2 linked regions of the Drosophila melanogaster genome follow. The protein of the gene in region 2 interacts with the protein of the main gene of each other region in a pairwise test. Each region holds a gene or a part of one and is shown on either strand. Other genes may lie near its edges. The genes, in order: PpY-55A and PPYR1.

Region 1 (3,779 bases), on a different chromosome or scaffold from region 2:
GATGGTATTTTCTCTGAGTGCACTGGGTTCCACGCGCATTGCATCAAGTACTTTAGTACGGGAGGAAACCAAGAAGTTCAGAGCACGTGTTGGGACTTAGGAGCAACCTTTCCGCCCCCCAAAGTCCTGTCGCCATGGCAACTCTCTCAATTGTTGTCCGGTTCATGTGTCCTCCAGTGCCCCGCATCCCCCGCCACCCAAATAAATAAGAGCATTTATATGAATTTTGTTTTGATTTTCTAGGACAAGCAAAAAAAAAGGGGTAAAGTAGCTAATAGAAACTTGCACAAACTCTGCAGCACATTTTTGGTAAGGAGTCAGTTTTAAAATGAAGATTCATAGGAAAAATGGTCGTGCAGACAATGTACGATGAAATAATCAGCTTTTTAGAAATGAAAACATGATGGGCATGTATGGGTGAAACAATTTGCATATTTCGATTGTTTTGGCAATTAACTGCAAAGTTCAAAGTTTTTGGTGTATTGAAGAGGACCAATAATTTTTGGAAACTTATAAGAAAATGGGTATTTGTTTGCCAAAAATTGATGAATAACAATTATTAATATTAATACAAAAAAATTTTAATTCAACATGTGTTTTCCGTAAAATGATGATTCCATTAGAAGAACAAGCCAGATGCCCGCCTAAATGCATTTTATTATTTTATTTCTGTCACTTATTCCATCCAGCTGATGAAGATATATGCGCCACAAATTCTTTATCATTTAGAATGCGATTTTGGTCGGCAGTGGACAGGGCCATAAATACTAATAGCCAAAATAGCCGGGAAGACATAAACCATAGCCGAGAAAAGTAATTCCCACTAGAAGGACGAGTAATAATCAACATCAAATTGCCTCGTTTCGAGTTCCAGTTCCAATTTGGGTCTTCTTTTTTTTTATATTTTCGGGTCTCTCGGTTTCGGTTTCGGTTTCATTTTCGGTTCCAGTGCAAAGACTCACTCAAGTTCATTTATTTTTATTGTTTTCGGAGCTTTCGGCGACAATTTATGGGCCAGCGGAATACAAAGATATTTATGTTGGTTGGTCTTGAGCGAATAAAATGGCGAAACTTATGTATATGGCCAGTCGGAACTTTATTTTATTTATTTTATATTTTTATATTTTCCTTTTCAATGAAAAGTGCAGGGGCGAAAGCAATGCGAAAATGGTGGGAGCAAGAGAAAAGCGGAGAAAATCTACGTAGTACGTACACGGCATTCAATGAGAGTGAAGAACGAATAATTTACTTTCCTTTTCCCCGGCTAAGCATCCAGCATTCTATCTTATTTTGCACTAAATTTTAACAGGATTTAGCCCCGTCACTCTTTGCTGTCAACTGCTAACAAGCGGCAAAGACGTCGGAGGTTTTGACCAGCCGAGCGATTCAAGCCAAGCCAAACTTGTTGGCCCAAAGGGGGGTCCATTCAAGGGTGCGGAGGTGGGCTGAGTTCGTTGGTTGGACTGAGGGAGCAGGTGGACTGAGCGGTGTGGGCGTGGCATCGTGTCCATGGCGAATGAGTTTTGTCGCAAATCCGCTTACGTCCACACCGCCGCTACGAAAATTGTGATGGCGCTTCTGATGGAGATGACGATGACGACAACCAAGATGATGCTGATGACGATGACGATGATGATGATGACGGCCTTCACTACACCCCATTCACGCCCAACCCCACCACCACCCACCCTTGGAGCCATTTTAACTGGCACATAAATAAATTCCATAAATCTTTTGCACTTTAACGCTTCTGCTTTAAGCCCAGTCAAGTCTGGGCTAAAGTCGGATGTGGATTTTGTGGAAAGTGCGGAGCTGGAAGATTATCCTCACATATATAAAAAAAATAGTCTTAAGCGCTAAATATGTTTAATTTCACTAATACTATTACAAACAAAAAACACTTCCTTTCTAAAAAATGTCACAGTATATTATAAAAATTTTTCGTTGTATGTTTAGTACAAATAAAATCGAATACGATGGCCGTCTTAACTACTCACGAAATAGATTGCATTATAAAGGAGCTCACATCCCTGAATGGAAGTGAGTGCACATTAAAGGAGGAACTAATCGAGAGACTCATTCAACAGACTCGTGAAGTGATCAAATGGCAACCGATGCTGCTCGAACTTCAGGCTCCGGTCAATATATGCGGCGATATTCATGGCCAGTTTACAGATCTCTTGAGGATTTTCAAGGCATGCGGCTTTCCACCCAAAGCCAACTATTTATTTCTCGGTGACTATGTGGACCGGGGCAAGCAATCGCTGGAAACAATTTGCCTGCTATTTGCTTACAAAGTTAAATATCCGCTAAATTTCTTTTTGCTTCGCGGCAATCACGAGAGCGCCAGTATAAATAAAATTTACGGATTTTATGACGAGATCAAACGTAGACACACTGTTCGTCTGTGGCACAGTTTCACCGATTGCTTCAACTGGCTTCCGGTGGCCGCATTGGTGGGCGAGCGCATCTTCTGCTGCCACGGAGGACTGAGTCCATCGCTCCGGAATTTGCAACAGATCAATCATATTCAGCGACCCACTGATATTCCGGATGAGGGTATCATGTGCGATCTCCTTTGGGCGGATCTAAATCACACCACCAAAGGCTGGGGTCACAACGATCGCGGTGTGAGCTTCACCTTCGATAAGGTCATAGTTCGGGATTTTCTTAAAGCCTTCGACTTGCAACTTATGGTTCGCGCCCATGAGGTTGTGGAGGATGGATACGAGTTCTTTGCCAACCGACAGCTGGTCACCGTATTCTCGGCCCCCAACTATTGCGGTATGATGAACAATGCCGGCGGAGTGATGAGTGTTAGCACAGACTTGATCTGCTCCTTCGTCATTATTCTACCGTGTCACAAATACAAAATGATTGCGACTGATGCCAACCAAATGCCGACTAACGAAGAGGAGTGATTTTGTTTTTCATACATGTATATATCACTTCGTGCAATTAAATTCGTACAATAACAATTCTTTTTATGTAGCTGATATATCAAATATATATACTATATATACGTTCACATTTAAATATTTAACCAGAAAATAAAAGACATTAGTTACTAGTATTCCATTGCATTTCTAAGTCTTTCAAATTAAGCAAACAAAACAGTAGCAATATAAATTACTCGGAAATTTGAGCTTCCCTATGAATACTTGAAAATAAAGTGACTTCAAATTAAATTTTATCATATTTGAATATTTGCCCGAAGTCAACTCCTTGTTGACTTGCACAACTTCATAGCAATTGAAGGTCAATGTGAGGTAGATTTCCCATCCGAATCTCCGACTGACCCACTTCCTGTGTCACCTGGCAGGACTGGACGGACTGGACTGGACTGACAGGTGGCTTCAACACGCTTGTTTCGCCATTTCATTTGCAGCTCGTTGCTGTGCTGCTCGGCCAAATGAATTTTATATGGCTCTTAAGTTGGCCCAGACTTGCTGCCAGATTGAGATGCTGATTCTGATGCTTATGCTGATGCTGAAGCTGATTTCCTGATGAGGAGGCATTCTGCAGCTTAGCCTCCTGTCCAAGGTTCGCTGGTTTGGTCCTCGTGCATGAGACAACATTTATTTGATCTGGCAAAAGTCGCATGGCAAACAGGCGAGTGTGTGTATGTGGACTTGGACTTGGACGGACTGCTCAGTGTTGCATACGAAAGTATCTCCGTCTGGTTGCTGCACGCTCGAATAATTTAATACATCCTCGCCCTCCCTCGTCCTGCAGCAGGATGTTCTGGATCCTTGGCATTTGGAATGCACACAGCGTGC
Region 2 (3,471 bases):
ACCTTTCAGAGTGGAAATGAACTAAGGGAGAAGAAAATAGGAAACACAGAGATTTTCATTAGTGGAAAACCCACAGTGGAACTAAGAACCTTTCTAGAATTTCATTTAATTTGCAGTTCCGCAGATAGTTTTGGTTGCTCTTGCTCTCCCTTTCGCTCACTATTGCCGGCTCTTTCTGGGCCGTGTGAGTTGTGTAATTCGTGCAAGCGAGAGGGCGATAGAGTTTGTGATAGGGAGAGGGGGACAGAGAATAGGCCGCGCAAAAAAGTTGGCAGACTTATTTTTTCCCCCATTTTTGCACTCTAAAGTTCCTTATACTCCCACAGTTTTGTGCTTTTGTTTTTGTTTCGCTAGAATTTGTTCAATTTAATGTAACATGAAGGAGAAGGCACAAAAACCAGAAACAGGGCGGCGAACTTGGGGGTGGGCGTGAGAAACAGGCGGAAACACAACATGGAAAACTGAAAAGTTTGCGGTGACGCCGGAAAATTCCATCAAAACTGTGGGAAACAGCCTTAAAATGACTTTAAGGGTTTCCCAATTATTTGGAAGGCCCTGAAAAAATAAGGAAAATTGTTCAGATCACTAAAAGCTTGATAAACTAATATAAAATTTTTATTTGATTATGTTTTTATATGTATTTATGATTTATATATATCCTAAAGAACGTAGAAATTATTCAAAATACATGTATTATTTAATTTTGAACGATTTAATACTATGTAACACGCAAACGCAAGCAAATTAAATGAATTTTAAGCGATAAGGAATAACACCTTGATCAGTGTTGAAATTTAACAGAATATCAACAACGTACAACGGGCGGTCAGCGGTTAATTCTTCGCCATCGTCTTCCAGCTCTCCTGATCCTCCTAATCCTCCAGATCCCTCAGTTCCTCCAGATCCTCCAGATGCGTCAGGTACTCCAGATGCTGCGGCTGTTTCTGTTTCTCCAGATCCAGCAGACCTCTCCCCTGTTTCAGTATTTCCTGTTTGTTCAGTTCCTCCTGTTTTGTCCAATCCTTTGGTGTCGTCTGTGTCTCCTGATCCCTCGGCTCGTACAGTTTCTTCAGAACCCCCTGTTACTTCTTTCTTTGTACCGAAATCAGACATTATAAACTTATTCAAAACCTGCTTTTTCTGCGCCTGCATGGCACGCCACTCGTCGAGTGTATATTGTTCGGTCTCCTCCGATGAATCGTACTCGTAGACGAAACTCGATACCTTTGGTAACTTCATCCCTTCGAAGGTGCGCAAATTGGTCCTCTGACGCAAGTCGATCTCCTGCTGGATGGATCCCCAGTTGTGGGCCCCGGCTCCATTGCGTTTTTCCACCGCCTTTACGCCAGTGCGTTTCGATCCGGAACGGCGATCAAAGAGTCGGTCACCAGGACGATTGCGTCTGGTTTTGCAAAGTTTGTTTTTCGGTACTGTAACGAATACTGACTCTACTTCCTTCTCAAGAGGATCTGCCACCTTGATGTCCTTCACCCGTTCCTTTTTGGGTGCAGTCAATGGAGTGGTCAAAGTAATCTTGTTCTCCACCTTTGGCTGAAATAGACGTGCTGCCTTCTGTGGTTTCTGCGACATCTTGGGAACGGCCACCATTGATGACTTCTTCTGTGACTTCTTCATCTTGGGATCCTTGGTGAGGGCTACGAGTGGTACGTTCATACTGTCGTCGAAGGTGCAACGATTGTTAAAGCTCGAATTTAAGTAAAAATCAGATATATAATTTATTATATAATCGGAGCTCTGAAGGCGAGCGAGTTTGGAGCTGAACTGAATGAGAAACGGAATGAGCCTGGCAGCTGATCGACTGGGCAACTAAGTTTTCCCAAAAACGGTTTAAGATTGACTCAGCAAATATAAGCCAGAAGTTACAGTTGCTCAGTTTTTGTTTGATAAGTTTGATAAGATCATAATATATATTCATATAACTCAATTAATATATGCTTTGCATATGTTTAATGGAGGCTTTTGAAATGCATTATGTTATGTACTTCTTGTGCATTGGTACATAAATACTGAGTTGATATATATGGACATCATAATTTTTTCAAATTCCAATAAAAGGCTACTCAAGGAATTTCGTTATAAAATATTTGTATTTTTCATAACATTCAATTACGTGTCTCTAGTGTTCGCAACCCCTCATTTATTTCGAAAAGTTATATATATGATTGCCATGGAGTTGCTAGGATATTCATTTAAGCGTTCAGTTACCAGCGCAATTTTCCGGCATTATTATTTATAACTTTATACGCTCGCCGAGTGCTTCGTTCTACCCACTCCGTTCATTTCATTTGGCTTCCCGTTCCTGTGGCTCCCTTGTGTCTCTGTGGAGTGGCCAAAAGTCCAGTGGCCAAGAGTCCAGTGGTCGAGGGGTCGGTCCATGGTCTTGGCCATCAAGTTCTGTGTTTTGTCATAAGTCATGTGTCTGCTCGTCCTCGTTGTGTGTTGCTTCTGTTTTTCCAGCACAAAGTTGTGTACTTATGAAAATTAGTTTCTGCTCTGCTCTGCTACTATTTTTCATAATTAAAGTGCAAATAAAAAACTAAGCTGGCGAACAAACAATTGCAATTAACTCTTGTTGTTGCTGTGGCCCCCCTGTTGATGTAGTTATTCGCATTTATTTGCGAGATTCGTGTTTTTCTACCGCCCCATTTTTGCTCTCGTTTTTTTTTTTTATGTATATATTCGCCTCTGCCGCTGCTGTGCAAAAACATAATTCACTTTTTATTATCTCATATTTTATAGAAAGTTCCAGGAAAATATGGGTGGGTGTATATCAGCCATATATATATATATATATATATATGTGCATGCACATATACACGCATATACACTGGGGTGTATACATAATGCAGGGGCTGTAAGCCTCTCTGTGTGTCGTTTAATTCATTTAGTTTATGCTTTTAGCGCTTTATTTGCTTAACTGCAGTTTGCATGTGTGCTTAAGTGTGCGTGTGTGCGTATGTGTGCGTGAGCATAATTGCAGCACACACGCACATATACAGATGCACTGGATTTTGCAATTACTCCGCTTGACAAACAGCGGCAGCAACAAGAACAACAACAACAGCAAGGAGTCGCAGCAGAACAGTGAAATTAATCAAAATATGAACAATTCGAGCCGCTACCCTGAAAAACCGCTCGGAAAATACCCACTCCACTCGTGGCAGTGGAAAACCGCAGATGCTGCCATTGACAACGCATCGCTGCATTTCACATTTCACATTTTGCATTTCGCATTCCGGGGCATCCTTTCGCCTGTTTGCCAAATATCAGCAAATTTTGCGTTTAAGCCAAGTGCAAACATTTTAGCAAACGGCGAGCAAACAACAAAAGACGGCAGGCACAGCCGCCTTTCCATTCCATTCAATCGATTGCCCCTAATGAAAGCCACTCAACAGTCGCTCGAACAACAAAATCAGCAGCCAAAATCAACAGCACACGACATTTTCCAAG

Evidence for each region.
Region 1: the proteins of PPYR1 (region 2) and PpY-55A interact in a two-hybrid assay, tested with the Drosophila melanogaster proteins (one study listed by BioGRID).

Annotation. Positions count from the first base shown.
Region 1 is NT_033778.4:17,954,686-17,958,464, reverse strand, and holds PpY-55A (protein phosphatase Y at 55A), read left to right. Parts: upstream 1-1,894; 5' UTR 1,895-1,976; coding exon 1,977-2,921; 3' UTR 2,922-3,069; downstream 3,070-3,779.
Region 2 is NC_004354.4:15,243,164-15,246,634, forward strand, and holds PPYR1 (protein phosphatase Y regulator 1), read right to left. Parts: upstream 1,751-3,471; 5' UTR 1,675-1,750; coding exon 745-1,674; 3' UTR 696-744; downstream 1-695.